Linked DNA regions of Struthio camelus. The protein of the gene in region 1 purifies or fractionates together with the protein of each later gene. This does not show direct contact. Links are inferred from orthologs where the notes say so. Each region holds a gene or a part of one and is shown on either strand. Other genes may lie near its edges. The genes, in order: RAF1, CCT5, TIMM50 and EMD.

Region 1 (7,678 bases):
TTCTGCAGGCACCCAATACGGCATCACCTGCTGCTGGCAGAACGATTCCCAGATGCCTTTCCTACTTCCTAATCAGTTTAGAAAATGAGAATACTGAATACCGTCTATGCGAAGGGAAAAAAAATGCTAATGTTGCATAAACAAACCAGTTTAAAATATGCCAAATGGCATCAAAAAAGAGAGCACCTTTTTCATGCCATGGAGAAAACTGAGAGATTATGTTCGTTGCTCTGTTCAAGATCTCTGCTTCACAGTTCTTTCATGCTGCATTCGCTGCTTTTGAAGAGACAGAGAAACCGCCTTATAGAAAAGTCCTTTTCAAGCAATTTCAGTTATATACACAGGATATAGTCAATGTATTGGCAATGACCATTGTTCTCGTTCTCTCAGACTGGAGTTTTGCTGTTGCAGTGTCCTTTGTTCATGAATAAGATCTTTTTTTTTTTTTTTTGTTTCTCTTGGCCTGTGCTCTTTCTTGGCAACAAACAATTAAGCCTGACAAAACTTAGATAAGTAACAAGGTGAAGTGCGAGGGCAGGAGTTGAGCATTTACCACCTAACTAAATGAACTTTATTCCCTGGAGGCTGCCGGAGGAGCAGTAGTTCAGTGAGCGAGACATGGGATGGGCAGTCTGAACACTGTATTCTAATCCTGGCTCTGCCGCTGACTCATCCTGTCACCTTTGGCAAATAACTGCCTTGATATATTAAGTTTTTTCTTATGTGAAGTGGTCACACTCAGTAGTAGGCACTAGTTACCTTATTTAGAGAGTCCAGAATAGTTAGGATGAATATTTTCTCAATCAGATGAACTGGCAATCCTTTATTTTCTTCCCTGCTACAGGAAGAAAGGGTCAGAAGTTTTAGAAAGGAAGAAATATGTTCAAGCGAGGTAATTCCGCTCTTTGGTATCAGAGATCAAATGTAGTCCAATTGCACACCATGTAGGAGAGACAGTCAGGTAAAAACCCAACCTGCTCACCAAAGGTTGAGAAGAAGATAGGGGCCTACACTTTTCCTGGAAAGAATAGATACTTGCAGTTATGTGTTTATCAAATGAACTATTATAATTTGGAAATTCTGACTTGTGAGAGTATTGTCAGCAGTGATCTGCCGCCAAGCAGATCACCATTCTTATTTATTCCACTAAAGTCAACCTTGCTGACACAACCCTTTTTAAAGGCAATCCATTTTGTGCATGCTTGTCCTGTTACTAGGTTACTAGAGAATGAACTATCTCTGTTTTTTTGTAAAACCCTGTACTTGCTTTTGGAAGTCTGGTCACACAGATCTCTACCCCAGACCTATTTGCATCTTTGATTTCTATTTACTTACCCCTAACCTTTCTCAGCTACTCTTCTTTGCGTTTTGATGAACTCTTCCTGCCTCTTTTCCCAAGCCCTGCTGTAAGATTAATAGAGGATTCAGACTATTTGGTTTTGACCGCTGCCAAGGTTTGTGCTCTCGGCAGCATGCTGATCGTGGCTGCAATTCTTGTCTTGCAGGGACTTGGGATCCAATTACATTTGCTGGCGTCAAGCAGACTCTACAGACCACTATGAAATACTGATTCTAAAAATAAAAAGGTGAAAAAGTGCAAAACCAAAGAGACCAGGATATTAAAATTTCAGGAAGATTGTAGGAAAGTTTGGAAGAGACACATAAACTATCTCAGGGGAAAACACTAACATATTGGGGGCGGTCTAAATTAAGCCTGTGGGTTTGCCTTTTTTAGCTCTGTCACCCATGTGACGCTCCAGTTGAGCCTTTGGGTGCAGGTATTTCAGCTAACACAAAGAACGCATTGGAGCCTTTGGGAAAGGCGAGTCACACTGACGGTTCGCAGCAGCTTATTGCCTTTGCTCTTGCTGAGGACGATTAACCCCAGGTGCACTTTGTTTCTGTTTGCACACATCCTCTCAGCTGAGGTCCTCTCTCAGCCTCTGGATTGCTCATTTGGACCAAAAACGCTGCTGACGGTGCCAGTGGGCTAGCTGGGTGCAGGAAGACTTTTCAGGCGCTGGTGAGTCTCAGTGGGGATTGGTGGGGGACTGCCATTTTCACAGCTTTTGCAGAAGTTTTGGTTGTACAGTGACATATGGAAGATTAACGGTTGTGCGAGTTGTCTGGCCTGCTTGGTCAGGATTAGATACTTGTTGGACCTGCTTCACAAGGTTCAAATATTTAGCCTGAGATCAGATAGAAAGGGACAAGTGCTATTTCTGAGAGGCATTTTGTGAATCTCATGTGAAGAGTTTGGTGGGAATTTTCTTATCTGTTGAGGAAAAATCGAATCATCTTTGAAATTGTCTTTTCCTGTTTAAACATTAAACCAGCACAAGAATTAACTTTTATTAAGTATAAAGTTGCATTTGTAAGTGCAACGTTTACTGTGACTCTCCTTTCCTGACCAGCCTCACTGTTCCCTTCCATTTTAGGATTTTAGACTGAACTGTTTGTAAAAAAACTTTCCAGTTTTAATCAAGATCTAATTGCAGAAGATTTTTTCCCTCCTTTTTGATGGTTTGAAATTAAAACCATGATAAGACTGTGAAACTGACGTTTAAAAGTAGATGTGTGTTTGCCTAACAGTGTATGATATATACACAATACTAGAGCTCCATGGCTACCCATGGAGTAATTGCAGTGATAGTGTATCGGCAGAGGTAGCTCCTTGGAAGTTTGCATATAGGTCAGAAGTTTCCAAATGACGATTAGGATTGTATGTATTCTGGATTGCTTTTTCAAAGTGTGCCACAATTTTGTCATGAGACTCATTAGCATTCATGAGAACTGCGAAGCCATCCTTCATACTAAACTGAAAGTTCAGCCCCGTGTACAGCATTTCATGTTGCTGAGATATTACAATGTCTAGTCTTAGCTCTTAATCCAGTTTCTTAATGCATTGCGGCAACGGGCTCTGTTGCAGTGGGTTAAGCAATAGGTTCAGACCTTACTTCCTTGGGCTCTTACATTATGCAACATTTTGATTTGACTTGGTTCTTGATCTGTCTTAAGTACAGTAGCTCACATTGTGTAAATTCTAAAGAAACCTAGAAGTGGACAGTTTTAAGTGGACAGTTTTAAGTGGACATTTAAAACTGCATGGGTGTTTCAGTAGGGATTCTTTCTAAACCTCTGCTGTCCCAAATGTGACCCTGAAAGCATTTCACACGCAGCATTTTCCGTAAATTATTTAGTTGGTTTTTAATAGTATAGCTAAAATGAAATGTTTTGAATAATTTAAAGTAATTTAAAAGGTTCAACCCAAATATTTAAAAAACTGTACTGCTAATTTACATTTCTTCATTCCCTTTATTCCCTCTGTAGAACAAATTTGGAACTATCTATTTTAATTTCCAGCAGAGGAAAAGTTAACAGAACCACTGGGCATTTGAAGTTCTTTTACAACGGCTCAGTTTGCTTGTGTTTGAAACAAAAACATGTGATAATAAACATGCAAAATACCCATTACTTATGCATGAAAATGGCAGATTCCTTTATAGCTGTCCTGAACACCCGCTTTCCAGTTTCATAGCTGCTCATGTGCACCGTACAATGAGCGATCCTGAGAGCACAGAGGAACTAAATACGTTGCTCTGTTGCGCTGTACTAGGCACTGTGTCGGTGAGCCTGGTTTAGTGTAACTCCAGGCAAAGTTTGTTTGAGGACTCACAGCCGTTATGAAATAGCCAGGAGGCTAAGCCAAGGTGAGAACCCCATTGTGGCAGGCGCTGCATGCGCACAGCAGAGGTTCACTTTCTTGCTGTCAGTCCTGCTGGGCTCCCGCAATACCTCATCTAACTGTTGTTTCAGCTCCAGAACAAATCCTTTGAAGCTTCTGTTTAATAAAGATGAGTGAATAGGCTTCATTTCTCATTAGAAGAAAACCACTAAAGATTTAAGTATTTAATTTTTTCCTAGATAGTCTGCAGTTTAATATATTTCAGCTATTTATCTGGAATTCATTTTAAGGAAATAACAGCCATTCATTTCCTTTGATAGAAAGAAAACTTCCAAGCATTTTGGTGACTGTCCACAGCTGGACAATTTCTGGCAGCAGGTCAAAAGTGGCAAGAAAAGCATTAATATCCTCCTTTATCAAAGCTTATGTCAGCCAGGAGGTTCAGCGCACAGGAAGGTCTGGAGTTTATGCCAGACTGTTGCTTTCTTCAGATCGCACAGAATTACAGCTTCTCTTAACGCACTCAGTCTGTGCTGTGCTTCCAGGTTCGTGTGAAGTCTCTTCTCTCATAACTCAGTAAAAGTGCATTATGCATATGGTATGAACCCCTATCCTACCTTTTCTTATAGCTGAAACAGAGGACAAGACAAAAGGTATGGGACATAAAATACCAATTCCTCTTTTCCAAAACAGGGAGCTGAGGCAGAGACCAATTTGCTCTAAGACACGCAGTTCCCATTAGCGGTGAGGAAACCAAACAGGCTCACTGAAGCACACAGGAAGCTCTGAGTAGCACAGAGGAGGAGACAAGCTTTTGTACCAGAAGGATCCAGTTTAACTGTAGGAGAAAATGATGTCAAAATATAGTGACATTTAGGAGAGGGAGAAAGATAATGTTCTGAAGAAAATTCAAGATCTGCAAAAAAGAGTCCTGGAAACCTGAAAGACGCTTAGCACAGTCCCAGATCTGTTTCACTGTGCTGAGGAAATCAAGCAATAGAAATAAAGGTAGGATTTTTTTTTATCTTCTTTCTGATGCACCTTCTAAGCAGAGAGCAAACGTGTTAAAAGACCCGGGCAAAGTCTGGGTACTGTGTTGTGCCTTCCTCATGCCTCTGAGAAGGCAAACAGTGATCATGGGGCAGGCGCTGGGCAATGCACAAACGTCTCTTGGAGACGTTTGACATACATGTTACAAGTCTCAGGGCTTAGATGTTTAACTCTAAAGCCCCCACCATGAGAAAGGACAACAGACGTGGTATTAGCTCCTTGCAGCCCATGTGGAGAAGCACATCCTAATAATAATTTCACTTTGCTGGGGCTTGTAAATTAACAAGTGATTCAGCTTCTGAATAAATCTGGTGGATGTCCAGCAAAGGGAATTTTATCAGTCCACGTAGATGGCAAGAGAAACATCCTTGAACCAAGACAACCAACTTGCCGAATTTGAATCACTTGCTTGAAAGGCTGGGCACGCTGCAGTTTCAAAGAAATGGTGTGGAAATGCTTAACAGATACAAGTGTACTTTTTTCCTTTTCAAAAAATTGACTATCTTTGTTGGTATTTTATGCATGCGCAGACACACACACATACACACAAAATCACCTTATGGCAGAGACCCAGCATGGAAATTTACAGATCAAATAAACTTTTGGCAAACTAACAAGCAGAAGAAATTGGGATTTCATACTTGAAAATGTCAAGCAGGCATGGTTATCTATACCAGTTGGATGTATAGTTTTAGTTACTTGTGCTCTCAGAGGCTTTAAAATCTAGCTTACTAACTTTATATGCTTCATGTAATTCCACCTGTTATTCTGTATTTTTTCTTTTGGTTGTATGTAACCATAAATATTTCACAGAGCTCAGCTAAGTTTTTGTATTCCTAATTTCAAAGAGTTGTCTAATATAACCCAGGTGTCTTCAACGTTTTCACTATTGTCAGCAGCAGGTGCTAGCCAAAGTCGCAAGGAGAACAGTTTAAAGGCTTGCATAGACTGGAGTAAGCTACTGTAAACCTTTGTTTATTGGACTGTCATAGAAATATTAGTAATTCAAAAAGATACGCGGTCTTGAGCAGTGTTTAGTGACATCTACACTAACCCTGCCACTTTTACCTGTTGCTAGATTTTAGGCCCACATAACCAGTATAACAGAGTTAGGACTAGCCACTCTGAGATTCAGTTCACAACTCACTTTTGCTAGTTTCTGAAATCATTAATTGAGGTAGCAGCAGAGTTCATTGTGTATGGCGCTCTTTATCCTTTGCCTTATTTTAAAGAATGATTGCCGGAGCAGGTAGAATGTGTTGCATTTGCAATACTGTGGCTGGAAAGCGGCCAGAACAATCAAGGAGCAAAACTTTTAGGCAATATTCCATATCCACAATAAAACTCAAGTCTCTAGCAAAGTTATCTAAGGAATCCAGGCTGAGAGCAACAAATGAAAAAGGAATGATACAGATAAGACCATGCTATAAGAAAAAAAGGACCAGCATTTCATGCTACTTTGGACAAAGTTTCCTGCACAGTTATATCTCTGGCTCTGCTTTTTATTTCTCAGCAAAATTTGATTCAAAATACTGCCAACTTCAGTAACTAGGTTCAAGTTCTCATTCTCTGGTAACCTGGGTAAATCAAACTAATCTTACAGTTTTTAAGTGCTATGTGAAATGAGGTGCTGTCCTACAGCCAAAGAGCAAAATATCATGTATGCCTCCGCTCAGTATATGAATTAATCAGTGTCTCAGCTACGGTATATTTTGCTGAATATTGTTCCACGCTTCTTTAAGAACAAGAAGACTACGCTTATTGTGTTTTGAATGTTAAGGGTACATTTCAAGAAAATCGAGTTGCTCTATGAGCAGCGAAACTAAAGATGCTTCACTACAGATTTATATCCTCTCTTCCATAAAGTGTCTATAATAAATCCAGATTGTACTATGTTTCTTATTCTGATGTCACCTCCATACGGCAAAAATACTCACATGCTGTGTCTAATTCAGCTTTAGGTGCATAGTGACTGGCCAGGGTGCTATTTTAAAACAGTATTTACAATGGCTGATTTCTGAGTTTGGTCGTCTTTTGCTTCACTAGGGGTATGAATATGGTTCCTTTTTCTGTCTTCAATTGCTGACTTCCAGGAAACTTATAGGAATTTAATTATTTCTGAGACTTTGGCTCATGTGTCAAATATGTTTGAAATTTGGAGCAAGAGATCGACCGAGCCATTACCTAAGCTTCCTTTCCTTAGGAAAGCAAACTAATCAAGATTGTTCCATGAAAATCCCCACACCCAGATGACTGGAAGTGCATTTTTTAGCAAACATAGACCTATGCCAAACAATAGTCATCAGAGCCACTTTGCCCAGTGTCCTTTTTTTAGGCAGTAATACATGTTTGTTTTTGAGAATGAAACCCATACTGTTTGTCATCTGGTTCAAGCTTATAAGTTTTTAATAGTACCATCAAGTCATATTCCTAACTTCAATTCAACTGAATCCAAACCATAAGCTTATAACGGATTATCGTTAATCAGGCTGCAGGAGAAAAAAAAGTATAACCAAATGGAAAGAAGAAAGTAGTAAGATTTTTTCCAGAATGTTAGGTTACTCTACTTTTTCCCTCTAAACTCCTATACTATACTGTATTTCGTTTTATTGGCAGATATCCCATACTTCTTCAAAATCTGAAGCAAAAAGAATGGGATGAGTATTCTGGACGTTCAGAGTATGTTAGATTGATATTGTTGGCTACCTACTCTGCATACCATGATTAAGTCAATGCTCCCTCAGATATTAGCTAGTCTGGACTATGTTGTTGTAGTTCGTATTGTTGCTACGTACTTAATTTTTGAAGTCTGTATGTTCTCTTTTTTCTCTGTTTTTCACATGTTCCTATAGTGTGGATTGTGCAGTCTGATGGGGTCCTCCGTGCTCCTTGCAGGACTTCTGTCTGGGTGGGGGGACAGGAACATATCGATTGTGCTTTTGC
Region 2 (7,601 bases), on another chromosome or scaffold:
ATCATGAACATTAGTAGGCAACAATGGAATATATCAAAATATTAGCAACTACCTTTGACATTCTGTAGGTTGATTCATTTTTTTTAAAATTAGTCTACTAACACTGAATGCCTTGATATTAAAGCAGTTAGATAATGGAAAAAAAAAGTAAAACTCACCATTTGAGGTACCCCAAAGACAACAACATTCGTGTAATGAGAAAAAGAAACCTATAAAAAAAAAGTGAGTGTAAGTCTTTTAAGACAATTGGCATATATAATAACTGGAAGATTTGGTACCATTCTTTCCCAAAGGCTTTTAGCTACATTCCTTTCAAACTAATCCTTGGGCTTAAGACCAAAAACAAGAAAGGAGATCCCATATCATGTCAGCATCACAAATTCCCCTATGCAAGACACCTTACATTGCTGAGTAGCAGAAAGCTTTTACTAGCTGGTCAAAAATCTGGCATGAATTCCAGTAGCGCACATGCAAAAAAATCAATTCAGACACACACTCCCCAATTCAGAAGATACCTACATGGTTTTACTTATGGCTAAGTTTCTTTTACAACCCTCACATACGTTAAAATGAGGAATGTTTTAGGATTACTCCCCTTTTGTTAAGGGCCGGCTAGACTTCAAACTTCCTAGATGTTCCAATGGCTAGGTTATCCCTAGTTCTGTCAGAAGTTTTCCATGCTTGTCTCTGAACAAAGATTAGAAACAGTATATTCACACTCTGCCTGCCAAGTTTCTCGTATCCACTTTCTTGTATCCACGTTGCCCATTACAATGTGTCAGTGTTTTAAAAAACAAAACAAAACAAAAAAAAAACCCTTCAATAGAACTAGCAGGGCAGAGCCAGGCATAAATACAACAGAAAAATAGTCTCATCAAAGCAGCAGTTTGATTGAAATGAGTGAACACGTATGTCAAAAAAATGTTACATGTATGCAATAGTGATCTTAAAGCAATTCTCAAAAATTAAGAGTTGCACAGTTACAAAAGAACACACATTTAATGAAACGTCAAATGAGACCATGATCTTGCACATTAGCACGAGGTGAATAAAAGAGTCTTCTTACTGACTTCAAAGAATCAGCTTTCAGTGAAGCTAGATACTAAAGTGACCCACATCATTCACCAAACAGAAAGGCACGAAGTAGTATGCGCAAGACGCCTTTGCCATACTGAGAGCAGTCTCTAAGGACAGCACGTGTCACTGAAGCACAAAACCAACAAAGCTGCTTATTGTGCTGTGAGCCTACTTTCTGCGGATGTTAAGTACTTTACTCAAGGCCCAAGGAAGCAAGTATCTGGTGGCTGAACGCATTCTAGTGGTTTTAGGGAATTATCTCCGAATTAGAGAAAACTCCATACTCTCCTCACAAATCCCAATTTCATTTATTCTTACGCGTTTCACCACCTACCTTCCATAAGTCTGAAATATAAAATTTGGTGTTCCGATGTACCCCATCTCTCCAGGCACGGTATCTGGAGTACCAGACTAACCAGGGATTTAATTCATAACCAACAGCTTTGAATCCCCTTTTTGCAGCAGCTATTACCTACAAAAAAAAATAAAGAAAACCTTCATTCTAGAAGGGAAGGAATGCTAAAAGATGTATTAGTCTCAATAGGATAAAGAAGATAATTTTATTTACAATAGAAATCAACAAAATGCACTTTGCAAGACACACAGATTTGCATTCCAGACACACTGGTAGTACAAAATCATGAACAAAAGCTCATACAAACTGCATTTTACTACTCTGACTAGTCATATTGAAATTAATAGATTTATTCAAAGGAACAAAACAAACCACTTAAATCTGCACAGGACTAAGCTGTAAACTTGCAGTATGTCTGTAATTTATACAAAAGTTAAATTTAACATACTCATGACATTACCTTGCAGATGATCATTGAGACAATCAAAGCACACAAGCAGAAACGCCTAGACATTCAAAATGAAAGGACCTGGCTTATTTCAAACACATTACCAGGTAGGCATTTGAGATACCTCTGATTCAGAGGCAAAATGACCTACTAATAGATAGAGTATGAAAATAAACAGTTGACCTACCTAAAAACAAATATATCACAATAGAGCTTTCTTCTAATGCTACACTTCATATATACTTTTAAATAGCAACAGGTAATTCAGATAATACAAGTTGATTTTCAAATGCACCCATTTAAATTAAGATCCTGGTATTTAGAATTGTTAACCTGTACAGCAACTGCCTCCCAGCTACAGATTAATATCCGATTATTTTTCAGAACTTTTTCAATGAAAACACAAAACAAAAAGGCACAAGTTAGTAGAAACATTAAAATCTAGCTTTAAGTCATTTGAAAGGTTACTGTCAAGTATCATTCAGGAAAAGTATGACTAATTACGAATTACAGAATAGGTAAGGTAGAGTCAAGGAGGAAGTAAATATTTCTTAATAAAATTTGCAGACAGTATCTATGGCACAGTGTGTTTCACATTAATTATTAGGAAAAGGGCTTTTTCCATCATGCACTCAGCCTTTGTAAACATGCTAGAAAAATCCAACATTTTGACCATGTTTGTAAATAAAGATATGTTTGCATTTACTTACAGATTATACCTGAAAAAGCACTAAACATTCAAAAGTATCAGAACACAAAACTCAACTTAATTTGAGGACAAACACTCAAGGGCAACACGAAGCATCACTGCATGCAATTTTAAGCACCTGGCTCTCAAGAGTAGCGTTCAGTCTGCATTTAGTCACCCATATATAAAATCAGTACCTAGTCAAAACCAGGTGGGTCAGGTACTTGAGCTCAATCACAGAACAGCTTGCTTTACTTGGAAGAAAGCCTTAATATTTCTGCATAAAAACTGACATTGAGAAACAGCTGCTGTAATACTGAAAATATATGAGCCCAGCAAAACTGTCTCTGCTATATCATTTTCACATGGAAGCATCCTTCAGCTAAGTTCTGTACTGAAAGTCTGATCACGCCCAGTACAGAAGCCTTTCCATACCTCCAGTAATTCTCATTCCTCTTTAAAATGATTCTCATTTTACTATACCCATTTTAAAATGAGGCAGCCTGCACTGCACAAAGCACATAAGGTATGAAAACTACAGTTTTAAGGATAGAGTTATTTTTCTTTTCTAACCCATTGTTTGTTTCTCACTCTCTCATGCTTTTATCACCTTTATGCAACAAGCACAGAGCAGCAGCTCCAAAAGTTGCCAGGCATGATGTCTCCCTGCACTGTTTCAAGCTCTGTTTAAACCTGCAGCCTTACATACTGCGGCTACAAAAACACACGGAACCACAGCTCTTAAGGAGCTAGTACTTTGAGCACACCTTTCTAGGTGAATGCACACTGTACAGTCCCCTCCAACCAAGAGGATGAGGTTAGGGTTTTGCACGATACCTTGTCAAGCTGAAGGCAAGCCTGGGACAAAAACATTCACTGCTTACGCTAATCAGATATAAACTTGTCTTGGCTTTGCGCATTTACATAATATTAAATGCCAGAGACAAGACATTCATAAATACGAGAAGACACACTACACTATAGAAACCCTTTGCCCCTCTTTTGGGGGATTATATAGAAGGAAGCTGATCTCCATAACTTACAACACGGCCATCCCCACTCCCAATGTCAACCAGGGGGCCGCTTCTGTTCCCTAACATTTTCAGCACGTTGTCAATCTGAGTTGAAGTTGCGGGAACAAAAGGCAGGCAAACTCTTCTCAGCGCTGGCATGACAAACGGGGTGACAACGGCATACAAGGCCACCAAGGTCCCGCCGACGCCACCAGTAACCAGCAGCCCCCAGCTCCTCCTTCTGGAGCTGCCCTCAGAGCCCACGGGCAGGCCTGGCGGGGGGCCCTCCTGCCGCAGCGCTTCCGGCATCGCACCTGAGGACAGACATTACCGAAGAGTATTTCCTCACGCAAATCGCTTTATTATACGTTTGTTTAACAGACAAGGCAGCAGCAGGTCTTATATCCCGTTAACTGATTCTTAGGCCTTACGGAGAAGTTAGGATGCTGCTTTTGAGGAGATAAACTACTAGATTATTTAATAATAATAATTAGGGGGGGAGGGAAGAAGGGCAGTTATTATTGGTGGTTCCCGCCCGGGGCAGGAGCCGTGAAGGGAGCGGCGGCTCCCACCCGACGCCGCCGACCCGCCCGCTCTTCGGCTCGAGCGAACCTTCTCGAAACGCGGCCGGGCCGGGCCGGGCCGGGCCGGGCCGGGCGCGACTCTCCCGCCCGCAGGAGGAGCCCGGCAGCACCCCCGCCGCCCGCTCGGGCGCCACGGCGCAGGCGCGGCCGCCGAACCCACCTTCTCCCCCCTCCCCGCCGCTAACGGAAAACCTCACGCCAGACCGGCTGCAGGCTTTGACCCGGAAATACTTATACTGGAGGACGATACCACTTAAATCAATTGGGGGGGGGAAGCTTTTTGATTGCGCATCGTAAGGAGAGGTTTGGCGCTGCAGAGGTAGGGTACACCGCCAGGGCGCTTCCTCCCCGTATTCTACCGAATGGTATCTCCCAGCTGCCCGGGGCCGCGCCGCCAGCGCCGCACGGCCCCCACCCGCCTCAGGCGCTTCCAGAAAGGTCCGCCGCCGGCGCCAGATAGGTTGCGCTTGTGAAAGGTGTCGCGGCGGTGTCGGCTGCGCAGGCGCGGGGCGAGGGGGCGGGCGGGCGGGCGGGCGTGCTGCGTCAGCGCGGCCTGGGCGCGGCGGCGGCGGTGCGGTTCGGCTCGTGCTGGCTGGGCGGGCAGGAGCCATCATGTCGGCTATGGGGACCTTGGCGTTTGATGAGTATGGGCGGCCTTTCCTCATCCTCAAGGACCAGGAGCGCAAGACGCGCCTCATGGGGCTCGAGGCGCTCAAGGTGGGTGTGCGAGCGGGCGCTCCTCCGTCCGTGAGCCTTGGTGGGGAGGGCCGTGCCGCCGTTATGGCCGTGCGGCAGTGGAGGGGAGCCGTTAGGCCTCGTGGCGGGGGATGGAGCCTGCTGAGGCGTGGCGCCTCTGCCTGTGCACCCCGCTCCCCTCCCTGGCGCCGGGACCGCAGTCTAGCCCGGGCCCGGCCGCGTGGGAGGGAGGGAGGGAGAAGGCATCGGCCCTGGGGCCGGGAATCCGCAGTCCTCCACGGGCCGGGAGGCTCCTCGTGGGGCGCCGTTCTTCTGAAGGCTAGGGCCGGTGTTGCTCCGAAGAAAGGCCACGGCTAAACCCGGCCCGCAGGCAGCGGGTCAGGCCATGCCGGCCTCAGAAGCACTGTGTGCGGGTGTGCGGTAAAATAATGACAGAGAAGTACAGCAAAACTACTCTTACCTCTTCCCCCCCCCCCCCCCCGTGATATTTGCATCTGTTACTGCTGCTTTAAACGCGCCAAGAAATCGTTCTAGCTGCTCCTCTACTATTGCAAGCTTTAACTGTGTAAGTGAAGAAACGGCATGGGAGATGTTTCTGGCATAAAGGCAGTGTGCATGTTTCAATTTGTTCTTACTTAAAATTGGCTGCTTCTAGTTGAATTGTAATACCTAATTTTCAGTTAGCTCTTTTTCTGTATTAGCTTAATGCTGCGATTCTGGGAGTGTTAATAATGATGTAACTTACTGCTTCTTTGTTTTGTAGTCTCACATAATGGCAGCAAAAGCTGTGGCAAATACTCTGAGAACATCTCTTGGGCCCAATGGTAATGATGAAATAATTTTAAAAATTCTTTTAGTAATTTTTTAAGTTGTTGGGGTTTGTTTGTTTGTTTTTTGGCTTTTCCCTCATGCTGTGAATTTTTTTTAGGTTTAGATAAAATGATGGTAGACAAGGATGGTGAGGTGACTGTGACAAATGATGGTGCTACTATTCTAAACATGATGGATGTGGATCACCAGATAGCTAAACTTATGGTAGAGCTCTCTAAATCTCAAGATGATGAGATTGGGGATGGAACTACGGGAGTTGTTGGTAAGAAAACATTTTAAACTTAGCGTAACTTTTCCAGTTTTAAAATCAAGTTTCTTGAACTAATTTCAGAGATGGTGATGTTTGATTGTAAATATACCATTTCTGTAAGGTATTTTTAAATATTTAAAAGGTTCCTAATACAGGAATTAACAACAATACTGAAGTGTTAATCAGAAAGATGTTTTGTGTGTTTTTAACGTGTGGGTGCATTTGAAGTTAGTGTTGAAAGTCCTCCCTCTACTTTCAGAGGTTTTTCTTGCATGACTTTCTTCTTGTCCCACCTTGATCCTTGTGCTTCTTCTTAGACTAAAATAATACAGTCTTCTTTCTACAAAGATTGAAAGAGAACAGAAACAAAATCTGAAGGTGTAATTTTTTTCTTTTAATATGTTAAAAATGATGTCTCAATCTGTGGAAGTGTAAACCTTATTTTAAATTTTGTTTTATAGTTCTGGCTGGAGCATTGTTGGAACAGGCAGAGCAGCTACTAGATCGTGGTATTCACCCTATCAGAATTGCAGATGGTTATGAACAGGCAGCTCGCATTGCTATTGAACATCTAGACAAAATCAGTGACAGCTTTCCCGTTGATCCACAGAATACTGAGCCTCTGATCCAGACAGCAAAGACAACTCTAGGCTCTAAAGTGTAAGTTCATGAAAAGTTCACAACAAGAGTTGCCTTTTTCCTTAAAAACACTTTGAATTGAAAGGAGAAATCCTGATTTTTACTTGATATTTTGATGGATTGTGATATTATTTATGTTATTGGAGTGGCTCTTAAATGCTCTTTCATATTTACTTGACTTTTTTTGGCCAATTTCTCAATGGACTCTTTATCTTTTTTTTTCTTAATTGGTTATGTCTGTTGACTCTCACTACTAAAAACTACATGCTCAGAGTTTTTTAAAAGACAGTATAGCTGAAAGAAGTGCAAATTATTTTTTTTTCTTCAAGTAGATACAAATTCAGATTGCAGATGTAAAACTCTGGTTTCCATTTCCATTGTAGCATTTTTCACTGTAGAGTTAGCCAGCTTCCCAGTGGCTCAGTCCATCTCACCTTGGGTGACATAGAGTAACTTCAGAATTATGCTTCCATAAGAGCATGTTTTTAGTTGGCTGATCCTGTAGTAGTGATTTAATCTTCTTTTGCTCAGTATGTATAGTCCCTTGTAAGTATTAAGACTGTTACAAACATCTTGTATCAGAGACTTTGTAAGAGTACTTTCAAGACAAATTCTAGCACACTTGCTGCACGATAAAGAAGCATTAATCTCATTTCCTGGTTAGTGTTTTTGGGGAGGAGGGGGTTGTTTTTTGTCTGTTACTCTTTGGACATTAGGCAACTTTCTTGGATGCTACTGTGGAGCTTGGATGTAAGGAAGCAAGAAGATGAGATGGCATAAAGCAGCACAGTAGAAAAACGGAAGTCTCCCATTTTTAGTTGCTATGGAACACAAGTTTTCGCCAATTGCAGTTTCTGTTGCGTAGCATCTCATGATAGACACTCAAATATGTAGGGAGGTAGCATGAGAATGCCATTTTCTATCTCTTCTCTATTTCCCATCCTGTTCTCCTTGCTCTTTCTCAACCCATTGTGTGGTTTTGATCGTATCACCTGTACAGAAATTATGGAAAGTTGTTGA
Region 3 (7,467 bases), on another chromosome or scaffold:
TGGGCTCGCCGTGGGGCTGGGGGCTCCTGGGGCCCCCGTGAAGCGGGCTCGTGGTGGACCAGGGGGCTCCCGTGACCCCAGGGCCCCCGTTAAGCGGGCTTGTGGCAGAACGGGGGGCTCCCGAGGCCCCCGTTAAGTGGGCTCGCCATGGGGCGGGGGACTCCCGTGACCCCGGGGCCCCCGTTAAGCGGGCTCGTGGCGGACCGGGGGGCTCCCGTGACCCCGGGGCCCCCGTTAAGCGGGCTCGTGGCGGAACGGGGGGCTCCCGGGGCCCCCATTAAGCGGGCTCGCCATGGGGCGGGGGACTCCCGTGACCCCGGGAACCCTGTTAAGCGGGCTCGTGGCGGGGCGAGGGGGCTCCCGTGACCCTGGGACCCCCGTTAAGCAGGCTCGCGGCGGGGTGGGAGGCTCCCGTGACCCCGGGGCTCCCGTTAAGCGGGCTCACCGTGGGCCGGGGGGCTCCCGTGACCCCGGGACCCCCGTTAAGCGGGCTCGCGGCGGGGTGGGGGGCTCCCGTGACCCCGGGGCCCCCGTTAAGCGGGCTCGTGGCGGACCGGGGGGCTCCCGGGGCCCCCGTTAAGCGGGCTCGCCGTGGGCCGGGGGGCTCCCGCGGCCCCGGGGCCCCCGTTAAGCGGGCTCGCCCTGGGGCGGGGGGCTCCCGTGACCCCGGGGCCCCCGTTAAGCGGGCTCGCCGTGGGCCGGGGGGCTCCCGCGGCCCCGGGGCCCCCGTTAAGCGGGCTCGCCCTGGGGCGGGGGGCTCCCGTGACCCCGGGACCGCCGCGAAGTGGGCTCGCCGTGGGCCAGGGGGCTCCCGCGACCCCGGGGCCCTCCCCCGCCTGGTCTCCTCGGCCGGTTGCGGTAGCCCCGCCCCCTCCCGTGGCCCCGCCCCCGCCGGCCCACGCGCCGCGCACGTGTAGGCGCCCTCTCTCGCCCTTCCTCTGCTTCCGCCTCCGCCCGCTCCTCCCATTGGCTCGACGCGCCTCGGCACCGCCCCCTCCTCCGCCTCACCGAGTCGCCATTGGCCCCCTTTCGGGAGCGCGCCGATTGGCCCGCTCCCCCCTTCAAACCCCGCCCCACCCGCTTTCTCCCACCTCTCCCTCCCCGTCCGCCACCGCTCATTGGCCGGCCGCCCCGACGGGGGCGGGGCCGCCCGCCTTCCCCCCGCGGCGATTGGCCGCGGCGGCCGCGCCTGCGCCTTGGGTCTGGCGGTGCGGGAAGATGGCGGCGGCGGCGGCGGCGGGGCGGGCGCTGGCGGCCGGCGGGGTCCGCGCCGCCCTCGGGGGCTGCCGCGGCTGCCGGGCCCCCCCCCCCGCGCCGGCCCGCGCCTCCGGCACCGCCCCCGGCTCCGCCCCCGGCAGCGGCAGCGGCACCGAGGCGGTGCTGCAGGAGCGGCTGCGGCAGCACCAGGTGGGCGGGGCCGGGGGCGGGGCGAGCTTGGGCCTGGGGGGTGTTGGGGGGGGGTCTGAGGGGGTGAGGAGGGGGGAAAGAGGGGCCATGGGGCGTTTGGGGGTCTGGGGGGGTCAGGAGGGGTCGTGGGGGGTGTTTGGGGGGGTCTGAGGGGGTGAGGAGGGGGGAAAGAGGGGCCATGGGGCGTTTGGGGGTCTGGGGGGGTCAGGAGGGGGCGTGGGGGGGTCTGAGGGGGTGAGGAGGGGGGAAAGAGGGGCCATGGGGCGTTTGGGGGTCTGGGGGGGTCAAGAGGGGTCGTGGGGGGTGTTTGGGGGGGGTCTGAGGGGGTGAGGAGGAGGGAAAGAGGGGCCATGGGGTGTTTGGGGGTCTGGGGGGGGTCAGGAGGGGTCGTGGGGGGTGTTGGGGGGGTCTGAGGGGGTGAGGAGGGGGGAAAGAGGGGCCATGGGGTGTTTGGGGGTCTGGGGGGGTCAGGAGGGGTCGTGGGGGGGGTCTGAGGGGGTGAGGAGGGGGGAAAGAGGGGCCATGGGGCGTTTGGGGGTCTGGGGGGGTCAGGAGGGGTCGTGGGGGGTGTTTGGGGGGGTCTGAGGGGGTGAGGAGGGGGGAAAGAGGGGCCATGGGGTGTTTGGGGGTCTGGGGGGGTCAGGAGGGGTCGTGGGGGGTGTTTGGGGGGGTCTGAGGGGGTGAGGAGGGGGGAAAGAGGGGCCATGGGGCGTTTGGGGTTGGGGGGGTCAAGAGGGGTCGTGGGGGTGTTTGGGGGGGTGAGGAGGGGGGAAAGAGGGGCCATGTGGCGTTTGGGGGTCTGGGGGGGTCAAGAGGGGGGTCGTGGGGGGTGTTTGGGGGGGGGGTCTGAGGGGATGAGGAGGGGGGAAAGAGGGGCCATGGGGCGTTTGGGGGACTGGGGGGGTCAGGAGGGGGTGTGGGGGGTGTTTGGGGGGGTCTGAGGGGGTGTGGGGGGTGTTGGGGGGGTCTGAGGGGGTGAGGAGGGGGGAAAGAGGGGCCATGGGGCGTTTGGGGGTCTGGGGGGGTCAGGAGGGGTCGTGGGGGGTGTTTGGGGGGGGTCTGAGGGGGTGAGGAGGGGGGAAAGAGGGGCCATGGGGCGTTTGGGGTTGGGGGGGTCAAGAGGGGTCGTGGGGGTGTTTGGGGGGGTGAGGAGGGGGGAAAGAGGGGCCATGGGGCGTTTGGGGTTGGGGGGGTCAAGAGGGGTCGTGGGGGTGTTTGGGGGGGTGAGGAGGGGGGAAAGAGGGGCCATGGGGCGTTTGGGGGTCTGGGGGGGTCAAGAGGGGTGTCGTGGGGGGTGTTTGGGGGGGGGTCTGAGGGGGTGAGGAGGGGGGAAAGAGGGGCCATGGGGCGTTTGGGGGTCTGGGGGGGTCAGGAGGGGTCGTGGGGGGTGTTTGGGGGGGGTCTGAGGGGGTGAGGAGGGGGGAAAGAGGGGCCATGTGGCGTTTGGGGGTTGGGCGGGGTCAGGAGGGGGTCTGGGGGGTATTTGGGGGGTCAAGAGGAGGGAAAGAGAGGCCATGGGGCGTTTGGGGGTCTGGGGGGGTCAAGAGGGGGCCTAGGAGGTATTTGAGGGGGCTGGAGGGGTCGTGGGGGGGCAGAGGGGGTCAAGAGGGGGCCTAGGGGCATTTAGGGGGGCTGGGGGGTCCGAGGGGGGCTGGGGGGTATTTAGGGGGTCTGTAGGAGGCAGATGGGGTAAAGAGGGGCCTGGGGACATCTGAGGGGTCAAGGGGGGCCTGAGGGGTATTTAGGAGAGGGCTGAGGGGAGGCAGGTGGGGTAAAGGGGGGCCCTGGAGGTATTTAGGGGGCCTGGGGGTTATTGGGGGGGGGTCTCGGGGGGGAGGTCAAAGGGAGTCTGAGGGGAGGCCTAGGGGCATTTGGGGGGGTGGTAGGGTCAAGGAGGGGGCCTGAGGGCTGTCTTGGGGGAGCAGAGGAGGGTCAAGGGGGCCCTGGAGGCATCTGGGGGGGGTCAAGGGGGCCTGAGGGGTATCTGGGGGGGGACAGGAGCTAAAGGGGGGGCTTGGGGGCGCTTGGGGCATCTGGGGGGCAGGTAGGATCAAGAAGGAGCCTGGGGAGGGGGTAGGTAGGGTTTGGGGGGGGGGACAAAAACTTGTGCCTGGGGGACATGAGGGGCAGGTAGGGTCAAGGGGGGGCAGGTGGCTGGGGGGGGTGGCAGATTTGGGTTTGGGGGGGGGATAGTTTGGGGGATATGGGGACAAATTAGGGTCTGGAGGGAGCAGAGGCTTGGCCGGCAGATGGAGCCGTTGCCGGGGCTCCTTCAACGTCCCCAGGTGTCCCCACGGCTCCCGGGGTGTCCCCAGCCCTCGCTGGGGCTCGTGGGCCGCTCCCGGATGGCCGTGAGCGTCCCCAGATGTCCCCAGGGCTCGCCGGCTGTCCCCGGCTGTCCCCAAAGCTGTCCCCGGGGCTCCCTGGCTGTCCCCGGCCATCCCCAGGGCTCGCCGGCTGTCCCCGGCTGTCCCCAAAGCTCCCCGGCTGTCCCCGGGGCTCCTTGGGTGTCCCCAGAGCTCCTTGGCCAGCCTTGATGGTCCCTGGCTGTCCCCGGGGCTCTGGTGACGTCCCCGGGGCTCCCTGGCTGTCCCTGGCCATCCCCAGGGCTCGCCGGCTGTCCCCAAAGCTCCCCGGCTGTCCCCGGGGTTCCTTGGATGTCCCCAGAGCTCCTTGGCCAGCCTTGATGGTCCCTGGCTGTCCCCGGGGCTCCGGCGACGTCCCCAGGGGCTCGCTGGCTGTCCCCGGCCGTCCCCAGGGCTCGCCGGCTGTCCCCGGCTGTCCCCAAAGCTCCCTGGCTGTCCCCGGGGCTCCTTGGATGTCCCCAGAGCTCCTTGACCAGCCTTGATGGTCCCTGGCTGTCCCCGGGGCTCCGGTGACGTCCCCAGGGCTCGCCGGCTGTCCCCAAAGCTCCCCGGCTGTCCCCGGGGCCCCTTGGGTGTCCCCAGAGCTCCTTGGCCAGCCTTGATGGTCCCTGGCTGTCCCCGGGGCTCCGGCGACGTCCCCGACCCTCCCCGGCAGGCGGCGGCGGGGGGCACCCCGGGCCCCGACGAGGGGCAGGAGCGGAAGCGGGAGACGGCGGCCAACACGCGGCGGCTGCTGCTGCGCCTGGCCGGGCTGCTGGGCGCCGGCGCCGGCGCCACCGTCCTCTACGTCTTCGGTGAGTCCCCGGGCGGGCGCCGTCCCCGTCCCCGTCGCCGTCCCGCTCACTGCCCCGCTCTCCCCTCCCCGCAGGCAGCAACGCGGTGGACGAGCACGGCGCCAAGGTAATTACCCCCTTCTTCGTTAGCACCCGGCGGCTCCCCCCCCCCCCCACCACCACCGCTTTCTCCAGCGTCACCTTTCCCCCCCACCCCGGCGCTTCCGGACGGGGCGTTTCGGCCGGAAAAAGTCCCGTTTCGGAGGTGTCGGAGGGGTTTTGATATGCGGACCCCCCCCCCCCCCCCGGCGCGCCATCCCCGGCCGAGGTGCCAATTGCCCCCCGCCGCCGCCGGGACATCAAACGAGCCGCGGCGGAAACGAAGGCGCCAAATCGCCGCCGTGCCGGAGCCCCCCGCGGGCGCCCGAACGCCGCCAGGCCGCTGGGGTGGCGTGGGAAGAGGTTGGGGGGGGGGGGCGCTACCCTTTTATTCCCCCCCACCCTTTTTTTTTTTTTTTTATCTTCCCCCCCACCTCCCCGCAGATCCCCGACGAGTTCGACGCCGGTGAGTCCTCGCGCTCGCGTGAACCCCAGGAGGGCTCAGCGCGGGGCGGCCGGGCTTGAGCGGGAGAAAATTCGGGGTCCGGGTGCCGCCCGCGGCGTTCCCGACGCCGGGGGGGAGGGGGGGCCAAACGGAGCCTTTTCGGCCCCGTTTTAACGCTCGCGCTGCCCCCCCCCCCCCCCAAAGCGGCTTTTTTTGGTAACCGCTTTGGAGGTTCCCGGAGGGGAGCAACGCGCTGGGCGGGAGGGGAAAGGGAAGCGGGGGCAGAAGGAAATTCCCCGCCATGAAGGTGCGATTCCCCCCCGCTGGGGGGGTAAAACGGAGAAAAACGAGGTGTTTTAGGCCCCAAAAGGGTTGGTTTTTTATTTACAATGCAAACGCAGAGGGGAAGCTGGTGGGGGGGGGGTCTTGCATTAGGAGGAGGCTTGCAGGGGGGGTTAAACGCCACCATGGTGGTGGGAAGAGGGGGGGGGGTCTCGGGGACGACCCCCCTCCCCGCACCTCGGGGACCCGTCCTCACGGCCGCTTCGCAGACCCCGTGCTGATCCAGCAGATCCGCAGGACCTACAAGTACTTCAAGGACTACCGGCAGGTAGGGCACGGGGACGTCCCCGGCGCGGGGGCTCGTCCCCGTGCCGAGGGGTCTGTGTCCCCCCCACCCACGCCCCGGCGGGGTTCGTCCCCGCGACGGGGGTCTTTGTCCCCGCGACGGGGGTCTTTGTCCCCGCGACGGGTTGTCTTTGTCCCCGCCATAAGGGACCTTGCAACGAGGGGTTTGTCCCCACCGGGGCAGCTCCGTCCCCGCGGCCGGGGACGGTCCCCTCACCCCGCGCGTCCCGCAGATGATCATCGAGCCCACCAGCCCCAAGCTGCTGCCGGACCCGCTGCGCGAGCCCTACTACCAGCCGCCCTACACCCTCGTCATCGAGCTCACCGACGTGCTGCTGCACCCCGAGTGGTCGGTGAGTCCCCGCCGGTGGCCGTCCCCCTGCGCCCGGCCCGGCCCGGGGGACGCCCGGCCGGTCCCTTACCCCGCTCCTCGTCCCCAGCTCGTCACCGGTTGGCGCTTCAAGAAGCGTCCGGGCATCGAGAGCCTCTTCCAGCAGCTGGCCCCGCTCTACGAGATCGTCGTCTTCACCTCGGAGACCGGCATGGTGAGGGGGACGGCGGTGGCGGCGGCCCCGGGGTGGGGGGACACACAACGCGGCCGCCCCGCTGACCCCCTCCTCGCCTCCCCCAGACCGCCTTCCCCCTCATCGACAGCGTCGACCCGCACGGCTTCGTCTCCTACCGCCTCTTCCGCGACGCCACCCGCTACATGGACGGGCACCACGTGAAGGTAGCGGGCGCGCGGGGCCGGCGGCGGCGGGCCGACGCGCCGGCCCCGCGCCCACCCCTCTTCTTCCTCGCCGCCAGGACATCTCCTGCCTCAACAGAGACCCCGCCAAGGTGGTGGTGGTGGACTGCCGCAAGGAGGCCTTCTGCCTGCAGCCCTACAACGGGCTGGCGCTGGCCCGCTGGGACGGCAACTCCGAGGACCGCACCCTCTACGACCTCGCCGCCTTCCTCAAGAGTAAGACGGCGGGGTCGGGGGGCCGCGCGCGGGACCCCCCCGTCCGGAGCCCGGGGGCCACCCGCTCTCGCCCGCCTGACGCCCGCGCGTCCCCGCAGCCATCGCCCTCAGCGGCGTCGAGGACGTCCGCACCGTGCTGGAGAATTACTCCCTGGAGGACGACCCGCTGGCGGCCTTCAAGCGGCGTCAGTCGCAGCTGGAGCAGGTAGGGACGGGGTCGCCGGCGTCCCGCCGTCGACTGCGTCTCGGTGTCCCCCCGCTGCCGTTATCCCTGTCTCGGTGTCCCACCGCCAACCGCGTCTCGGTGTCTCCCCGCTGCCATTATCCCTGTCTCGGTGTCCCACCGCCACCGCTGACCGCGTCTCGGTGTCCCCCGCTGCCATTATCCCTGTCTCGGTGTCCCACCGCCGACCGAGTCTTGGTGTCTCCCCGCTGCCATTATCCCTGTCTCGGTGTCCCACCGCCGACTGCGTCTCGGTGTCCCCTGCTGCCGTTATCCCTGTCTCGGTGTCCCACCGCCGTCGCCGACCGCGTCTCGGTGTCCCCCGCTGCCGTTATCCCTGTCTCGGTGTCCCACTGCTGCCGTCAGCCGCGTCCCGGCGTCCCACCACCGTCATTACCTGCGTCCCAGCATCCCGTCACCGTTATCCACGTCCCGGTGTCCCGTCACTGTTAACTGCGTCCCAGTGTCCCACCACCGTCATTACCTGTGTCCCAGCATCCCGTCACCGTTATCCACGTCCCGGTGTCCCACCACCATTGTTACCTGCGTCCCAGCATCCCGTC
Region 4 (7,897 bases), on another chromosome or scaffold:
TACGACTCCTGCATGAAGGTCTCCGAGGAGCCGGGGTCTGGGGGGACACAGCGTCACTGGGGGGAGTGGTGTCCCCCCGGGAGCCCCATTGCCCCCCCGGGGTCCCTTTGGCCCCCCAGGGGCCCCTCAGGACCCCCTGCCCCCCAACACCCCCCAGGGACCTGCACAGTCCCCCCAGGATCCTCTGGCTCCCTGTGGCCCCCCCAAGACCCCAGTTGCCCCCCTGGGACCCCACTGCCTCCCTGGGGTCCCGGAGCCCCCCCATGGCCCCCCCACAGCTCCCTGGGGTCCCTCCCCACCTCTCCGTGGCCCCCCCAGCCCCCTGGGACCCCCCAAGACCCCAGTTACCCCCCTGCGGTCCCCCAGCGCCCCAGGACCCCACTGCCCCCCTGGGCTCCCGGAGCCCCCCAGGGTGCCCCACGCCCCCCCCCGGTTGCCCCAGCCCCCCAGGACCCCCCCACTCACCGCCGCCCCCCACGCGGCTCCGCTGCGTCTCGTACTCGTAGACCTTCTTCTCGTACAGCTTCCGCGTGGAGCCTGGGGGGCCGGGGCGGGGGGTCAGGACCCCTGGGACCCCCTGCCCCACGGCACCCCCCACGGCCAGGAGCCCCATCGCAGGAGCCCCCCGGCCCCCCCCCCGGACGCCCGGCCCCCCCACCCCGCGCCCCCCGCGCCCCGGCCCGCACCCACGACGGGGCCGTGCGGGATGCGGCAGCTCTTGAGCTTCTCCAGCAGCTCCTTGTCCGTGAGGCCCCGGTAGCTCTGCATGGCCTGGGGGGACACGGGGACGTGGGGGGACACGGGGACGTGGGGGACACACGGGGGGACACGGGGACGTGGGGGACACACGGGGGGACACGCAGGGGGACACGGGGACGCGGGGGGACACACGGGGGGATACGGGGATGTGGGGACACGCGGGGGGACACGGGGACGTGGGGGGACACGCGGGGGGACACGCGGGGGGACACGGGGACGCGGGGGACACGCGGGGGGACACGGGGACGGGGGGACACGTGGGGGGACACGGGGACGTGGGGGACACGTGGGGGGACACGGGGATGTGGGGACACGCGGGGGGATAAGGGGATGTGGGGACACGGGGGGACACGGGGACGGGGGACGCGGGGGGACACGGGGACGTGGGGACACGCGGGGGGACACGGGGACGTGGGGGACACACGGGGGGACACGCGGGGGGACACGGGGACGCGGGGGGACACACGGGGGGATACGGGGATGTGGGGACACGCGGGGGGACACGGGGACGTGGGGGGACACGCGGGGGGACACGGGGACGGGGGGACACGCGGGGGGATAAGGGGATGTGGGGACACGCGGGGGGACACGGGGACGTGGGGGACATGCGGGGGGACACGGGGATGTGGGGACACGCGGGGGGACACGGGGACGTGGGGGACACGCGGGGGGACACGCGGGGGGACACGGGGATGTGGGGACGCGGGGGGACACGGGGACGGGGGGACGCGGGGGGACACGGGGATGTGGGGACACATGGGGGGACACGTGGGGGGACACGGGGGCGGGGGACACATGGATGTGGGGACACGCGGAGGGGACATGCGGGGGGACACAGGTATGTAAGGACATGGGGACGTAGGGACACACGAGGTGACCCACGAGGGGGACACGGGGATGGGGGGACACGGGGATGTGGGGACGCGCAGGGGGACGTGGGGGGACATGGAGATGTGGGGACACCGGGGGGACGTGGGGGGACACGGGGATGGGGGGACACGCGGGGGGGATGTGGGGGGACACGGGGACACGCGGGGGGACGGGCGCGGAGCAGGCTGCGGGACGGGGACGGGGGGCGGCTGGCGGGACAGGGAAGGGGACAGGGACAGGGGCCCCCCCGGGGCTATGGGGCAGGGATGTGGGGGACGTGGGGGGAGAGGGGGCCATGCTGCAGCTATGGGGCAGGGACATGAGGGGACACAGGCCCCCCTCGGGGCTATGGGGCAGGGACATGAGGGGACATGGGGCCACCCTGGAGCTATGGGACAGGGCCACGGGGCCACCCGGGGCTATGGGGCAGGGACATGAGGGGACATGGGGAGACATGGGCCCCCCCGGGGCTATGGGGCAGGGCAGTGGGGGGACAGGGGCCCCCGGGGCTATGGGGCAGGGCCGTGGGGCTCCCCGGGGCTATGGGGCAGGGCCGTGGGGGGACAGGGGCCCCCGGGGCTACGGGGCAGGGCCGTGGGGCTCCCCGGGGCTATGGGGCAGGGCCGTGGGGGGACAGGGGCCCCCGGGGCTATGGGACAGGGCCGTGGGGCTCCCCGGGGCTATGGGGCAGGGCCGTGGGGGGACAGGGGCCCCCGGGGCTATGGGGCAGGGCCGTGGGGCTCCCCGGGGCTATGGGGCAGGGCCGTGGGGGGACAGGGGCCCCCGGAGCTATGGGGCAGGGCCGTGGGGCTCCCCGGGGCTATGGGGCAGGGCCGTGGGGGGACAGGGGCCCCCGGGGCTATGGGGCAGGGCCGTGGGGCTCCCCGGGGCTATGGGGCAGGGCAGTGGGGGGACAGGGGCCCCCGGGGCTATGGGGCAGGGCCGTGGGGCCCCCCGGGCTATGGGGCAGGGCCGTGGGGGGACAGGGCCCCCCGGGGCTATGGGGCAGGGCCGTGGGGCTCCCCGGGGCTATGGGGCAGGGCCGTGGGGGGACAGGGCCCCCGGGGCTATGGGGCAGGGCCGTGGGGCTCCCTGGGGCTATGGGGCAGGGCCGTGGGGGGACAGGGGCCCCCGGGGCTATGGGGCAGGGCCGTGGGGCTCCCCGGGGCTATGGGGCAGGGCCGTGGGGGGACAGGGCCCCCGGGGCTATGGGGCAGGGCCGTGGGGGGACGGGGCCCCCCGGGGCTATGGGGCAGGGCCGTGGGGCCCCCCGAGGGCCGGGCCCGGCGCCGCTCGGGGGTCCCGGTACCTCGCTCCTGCGTCCAGGCCGCGCGCGCGAAGGGAAGTGACTCAGGGGGGCGGGGCCAGCGCGCGGGGGGCGGGGCCAGCTCGAGCGGGGGCGGGGTCAGCTCGAGCGGGGGGCGGGGTCAGCTCGAGCGGGGGGCGGGGTCAGCCCGCCAGGCCGCGGACAGGACGCCGGGGGCGGGGCCAAACCTATCGGGGGCGTGGCCAAGCCCACCAAGGGGCGTGCTCTCAGCGGGGCCACGCCCCTCCGGGCCCACCCGGCGCTATGGGGCAGCCCCCTCTCCCCCACATATATAGGGCAGGGCCCGGACGCCTGGGCCCATTCGGGGTGAGGAGGACGGGAGGCTCCCGGACGCCTGGGCTCCTGCCGGGCGGGGGCCCCGGCCCCCCCCCCCAGCCCAGCCCCACACGTGTGGGGCAGACCCCCCCCAAGGAGGACGCGGGCCGGGCTCGTTTCTCCTCGTTTATTCCCTCCGTGGGGCCGGCGGGTCGCGCCCCCCCCCACCCCCCCCACCCTGCCCCACGGCGGGCCGGGGGGCGCCGGGGCCCCAGACGTCACGATCACGGCACAAGACAGACACCGGGCTGGGGGGCAGGGGGGGCGGCACGGCCGTGGGGCAGGGCTGCGCGGCAGGCCACGGGGCCGTGGGGCAGGCCGTGGGGCACGGCTACGGGGCAGGCCACAGGGCAGGCCGTGGGGCAGGGTTGTGGGGCCGGCCACGAGGCTATGGCACAGGGCAAGGGGGCAGGCTGTAGGGCTATGGGGCAGGGCTATGGGGCAGGCCGTGGGGCTAAGGACAGGGCTATGGGGCAGGCCGCGGGGCTGTGGGGCAGGCTATGGGGCAGGCCCCACAGACACCATAGGTGCAGACAGAGGGGGCGGGGCCACCCCGCCCCCATAGGCCCCGCCCCCTGCCCCCCAGGGCAGCTCCTGGGCTCGGCGCCCCCTGCTGCGGGGGGGGACCTGCGGGAGAGAGGCCGTCAGTGGCACCCCGACCCACGGCGGCACCCCGACCCCCGTGGGGCACCCCAGACCCACGACGCCACCCCAGCCCCCCAAGGCTGCCCCCCATGGCACCCCAACCCCCATGGGGCACCCCCGACCCCTATGTGGGGCACCCCAGCCCCCCCCACTGTCCCCAAGACCCCTATGTGGGGCACCCCAGCCCCCCCCACTGTCCCCTAAACCCCCATGGGGGCACCCAGACCCCTATGTGGTGCACCCCAGCCCCCCCCAATGCCCCCTAAACCCCCATGGGGGCACCCCAGCCCCCCCAGGCACCCCCGACTGCCCCCCAGAGCCCTACGTGGGGCACCCCAGCCCCCCCCACTGCCCCCTAAACCCCCATGGGGGCACCCAGACCCCTATGTGGTGCACCCCAGCCCCCCCCAATGCCCCCTAAACCCCCATGGGGGCACCCCAGCCCCCCCAGGCACCCCCGACTGCCCCCCAGAGCCCTATGTGGGGCACCCCAGCTCCCCCCACTGCCCCCTAAACCCCCATGGGGGCACCCAGACCCCTACGTGGGGCACCCCAGCCCCCCCCACTGCCCCCTAAACCCCCATGGGGGCACCCCCGACCCCTATGTGGGGCACCCCAGCCCCCCCCACTGCCCCCTAAACCCCCATGGGGGCACCCCAGCCCCCCCAGGCACCCCCGACTGCCCCCCAGAGCCCTATGTGGGGCACCCCTGCCCCCCCCGCCCCCTAAACCCCCATGGGGGCACCCAGACCCCTACGTGGGGCACCCCTGCCCCCCCCACTGCCCCCTAAACCCCCATGGGGGCACCCAGACCCCTATGTAGGGCACCCCACCTCCCCCCAATGCCCCCTAAACCCCCATGGGGGCACCCAGACCCCTATGTAGGGCACCCCAGCTCCCCCCAATGCCCCCTAAACCCCCATGGGGGCACCCAGACCCCTATGTGGGGCACCCCAGCCCCCCCCAATGCCCTCTAAACCCCCATGGGGGCACCCAGACCCCTATGTGGGGCACCCCAGCCCCCCCCAATGCCCTCTAAACCCCCATGGGGGCACCCAGACCCCTACGTGGAGCACCCCAGCTCCCCCCACTGCCCCCTAAACCCCCATGGGGGCACCCCAGCCCCCCCAGGCACCCCCGACTGCCCCCCAGAGCCCTACGTGGGGCACCCCAGCGCCCCCCCCCGCAGCCCCACTCACCCTACATCTGGTTGGCGAAGGAGGTGGGGGCGCCCTGGCCGTAGCCCCCCTCGGGCTGGCCGTACCCCCCCGGCGGGCCGTAGCCCCCCTGGCCGTAGTCGGGCTGGTAGCCGCCGGGCTGCCCGTAGCCGCCCTCGGGCTGCCCGTAGCCCCCCCCGCCGGGGCCGTAGCCCTCGGGGGCCGCCTGCTTCTCGGGGGCCCCCGCGGGGGGGCCGCGGCCCCAGGGGCCCCCCCAGCCCGTCTCCTTGAACACGAACCAGATGTTGCCCGTCCACAGCACCAGGTTGAGGAAGCCGAACACCTGCGGGGGGGGCCGCGCTATAGGGGGCCGCCTATGGGGCACCGGGGGGGCTGGAGGGGGTGGGGGGGGCTGCGGGGCTGCTATAGGTCCTGGGGCTCTGCAGGAGCTCTAGGGGTGCTATAGGTCCTGGAGCACTGCTATGGGGGCCTATAGGGGTGCTATAGGTCCTGGGGGGAGCTCTATGGGGGGGCTCCAAGGGTGTTATAGACCCTGGGGGAGCACTGTGGGGGCCATAGGTCCCAAGGGTGCTACAGTGTGTGGGGGGGAGGCTGCAAGGATCCCAGGGGACCACCATGAGGGACCATAGGGGTGCTATAGGTCCCCCGGGAGCACTGTGGGGGGCTTGGGGGGGGGGCTATAGGTCCCAGGGGAGCCCGGTGGCACCATAGTGGGCTATAGGGGCACCATAGGGGTCCGTAGGGGCTCAACACGGAGGTGAGCCAGAGGTGAGCGGGGCACTGGCAACCCAGCAGGGCCATAGGGGGCTATAGGGGTCCGTAGGGGCCCATGGGGGGGTTATAGGGGTCCGTAGGGGGCTTGAGGGGCGCTATAGGGGGCTATAGGGGCTCACCACGGAGGTGTTGAGTCCAGAGGGGAGCAGGACGCTGGCAGCCCAACAGGGCCATAGGGGACGAGAGGGGTCCGTAGGGGGGCTCGAGGGGCGCTATAGGGGGCTATAGGGGCTCACCACGGAGGTGTTGAGGCCGGAGGTGAGCGGGGCGCGCAGGCCGCGGCAGCGGGCGCCGGGGCGCTGGCAGCCCGGCAGCTCGGCCAGGACGCCGGCGGGCGCCGTCGCCTCCTTGACGTCGGCCAGCGCCTTGGCCCAGGCGCAGGAGCTCACCAGCCACAGGAAGGCCAGCACCCCCGTGGCCACCAGGTCCTGCCGGCGGGGGCGCCCCTCACCACCGGCCCCCCGTGTCCCCGTGTCCCACCTCCCCCCGTCCCACGTCCTGTCCCACCTCCCCCGTGTCATGTCCCCCCCACCCCCACGTCCCCGTGCCCCCACGTCCCCGTGCCCCCACGTCCTGTCCCCCATGTCATGTCCTCTTCACTCCCCCTTGCCCTGTCCCCACATCCTCGTGCCCAGCTGCCCCATGTCCCCCATATCCTTCTGCCCCCCATCCCCATGTCCCTGTGCCCATCTCTTGTCCATGTTCCCATGCCCCATCCCCATGTCCTGCCCCACATCTTCCATGTCCCCAAGCCCCCCAGTGTCGTCCCCCCATGTCCACGTCCCCAAGCCCCCCATGTCTTGTCCCATATCCCCAAGCCCCCCCATCCCTGTGGCCCCCATGCCCATGTCCCCAAGCCCCCCGTGTCTTGTCCCCCCATGCCCCAAGCCCCCCATGCCGTGTCCCCCCCACGTCCCCCACCCTCCCGGTGCCCCCACTCACGATGACGGGCCCTTTGTTGTTCTCCCGGTACTTGCTGTCGAGGAAGAGGTAGACGCCGAGGGCGCCCAGGGCGTAGAGGAAGGCGAAGACGGCCACGGTGACGAAGAACTCGGCCGCCGATGAGTAGTCGCCCACCAGGAAGACCTTCTCCTGCCCCGCGCCCTGGCACGTGGGGGCCACGAAGTACACCTGGTGCAGCCTGCGGCACCCGCAGCGGGCTAGCGCCGGCCCCCGCCACCGGCCCCCCGCCCCCAGGGCACCCCCAGGGCACCCGCCACGCGGCCTGGGGCGGGACACGGGGACCAGCATCCTCCCCACTGCACGTAGCGTCTCCCCACATGGTCCCTATGGGCCTGGAGCTTCTCCCCAAATGGTCCCTATGGGTCTGGAGCATCCCTGGCTGGTCCCTATGGGCCTGGAGCTTCTCCCCAAATGGTCCCTATGGGTCTGGAGCATCCCTGGCTGGTCCCTATGGGCCTGGAGCTTCTCCCCAAATGGTCCCTATGGGTCTGGAGCATCCCTGGCTGGTCCCTATGGGCCTGGAGCTTCTCCCCAAATGGTCCCTATGGGTCTGGAGCTTCTCCCCAAATGGTCCATTTCCGCACATGGTCCATGTGGGTCTGGAGCATCCCTGGCTGGTCCCTATGGGCCTGGAGCTTCTCCCCAAATGGTCCCTATGGACCCAGAGCATCTCAGACTGGTGCATACAGACCTGCAGGATCACCCCAGAGAACACATACAGGTCTATAGCATGCCAGGCTGGGTCGTATAGGTCTGCAGCATCCCCCTACTGCCCCATATGGGACCGTAGCGTCCCCAGTTGGTACATATAGGTCTGCAGCATCTGCTCAGTGCCCCATATGGGCACTAGGAGCTACCGCAGTTGGTGCCTATGGGTCTGGAGCATCCCCCCAGCGCTCTATATGGACCTGGAGCATCATTCCAGATGGCATCTGTGGGTCTGTGGTACCTCCCAGATGGCACGTATGGGCCCGCAGCACCTCCCAGATGGCACGTAAGGGCCCGCAGCATCCCTGCGGGTGGTTCGTAGGGGGGTGCAGTGCCCCCCGAGGGGGCGCAGGGGCCC

Evidence for each region.
Region 2: the proteins of RAF1 (region 1) and CCT5 purify together in Homo sapiens (affinity purification with mass spectrometry; 3 studies listed by BioGRID and IntAct, with this or other methods). This does not show direct contact. The link is inferred for Struthio camelus from reciprocal best matches to the Homo sapiens genes RAF1 and CCT5.
Region 3: the proteins of RAF1 (region 1) and TIMM50 purify together in Homo sapiens (affinity purification with mass spectrometry; 4 studies listed by BioGRID and IntAct, with this or other methods). This does not show direct contact. The link is inferred for Struthio camelus from reciprocal best matches to the Homo sapiens genes RAF1 and TIMM50.
Region 4: the proteins of RAF1 (region 1) and EMD purify together in Homo sapiens (affinity purification with mass spectrometry; 3 studies listed by BioGRID and IntAct, with this or other methods). This does not show direct contact. The link is inferred for Struthio camelus from reciprocal best matches to the Homo sapiens genes RAF1 and EMD.

The regions. Positions count from the first base shown.
Region 1 is NC_090955.1:19,911,348-19,919,025, forward strand, and holds the start of RAF1 (RAF proto-oncogene serine/threonine-protein kinase), read left to right. Parts: upstream 1-4,673; 5' UTR 4,674-4,693; intron 4,694-7,678. UniProt on the Homo sapiens protein: Serine/threonine-protein kinase that acts as a regulatory link between the membrane-associated Ras GTPases and the MAPK/ERK cascade, and this critical regulatory link functions as a switch determining cell fate decisions including proliferation, differentiation, apoptosis, survival and oncogenic transformation.
Region 2 is NC_090943.1:80,615,271-80,622,871, forward strand, and holds the start of CCT5 (T-complex protein 1 subunit epsilon), read left to right. Parts: upstream 1-4,588; 5' UTR 4,589-4,777; coding exon 4,778-4,882; intron 4,883-5,624; coding exon 5,625-5,685; intron 5,686-5,789; coding exon 5,790-5,954; intron 5,955-6,403; coding exon 6,404-6,602; intron 6,603-7,601. Other genes in the region: ATPSCKMT (ATP synthase subunit C lysine N-methyltransferase), read right to left, coding at 159-209, 1,412-1,549, 3,612-3,890. UniProt on the Homo sapiens protein: Component of the chaperonin-containing T-complex (TRiC), a molecular chaperone complex that assists the folding of actin, tubulin and other proteins upon ATP hydrolysis.
Region 3 is NC_090957.1:1,563,284-1,570,750, reverse strand, and holds the start of TIMM50 (mitochondrial import inner membrane translocase subunit TIM50), read left to right. Parts: upstream 1-4,454; 5' UTR 4,455-4,567; intron 4,568-4,641; 5' UTR 4,642-4,673; intron 4,674-5,089; 5' UTR 5,090-5,111; intron 5,112-5,641; 5' UTR 5,642-5,700; intron 5,701-5,950; coding exon 5,951-6,070; intron 6,071-6,157; coding exon 6,158-6,262; intron 6,263-6,348; coding exon 6,349-6,447; intron 6,448-6,524; coding exon 6,525-6,681; intron 6,682-6,779; coding exon 6,780-6,886; intron 6,887-7,467. UniProt on the Homo sapiens protein: Essential component of the TIM23 complex, a complex that mediates the translocation of transit peptide-containing proteins across the mitochondrial inner membrane. Has some phosphatase activity in vitro; however such activity may not be relevant in vivo.
Region 4 is NC_090979.1:105,482-113,378, forward strand, and holds the start of EMD (emerin), read right to left. Parts: upstream 3,012-7,897; 5' UTR 2,939-3,011; intron 772-2,938; 5' UTR 769-771; coding exon 687-768; intron 538-686; coding exon 466-537; intron 38-465; coding exon 1-37. Other genes in the region: SYP (synaptophysin), read right to left, coding at 5,117-5,416, 6,105-6,296, 6,811-7,009. UniProt on the Homo sapiens protein: Stabilizes and promotes the formation of a nuclear actin cortical network. Stimulates actin polymerization in vitro by binding and stabilizing the pointed end of growing filaments. Inhibits beta-catenin activity by preventing its accumulation in the nucleus.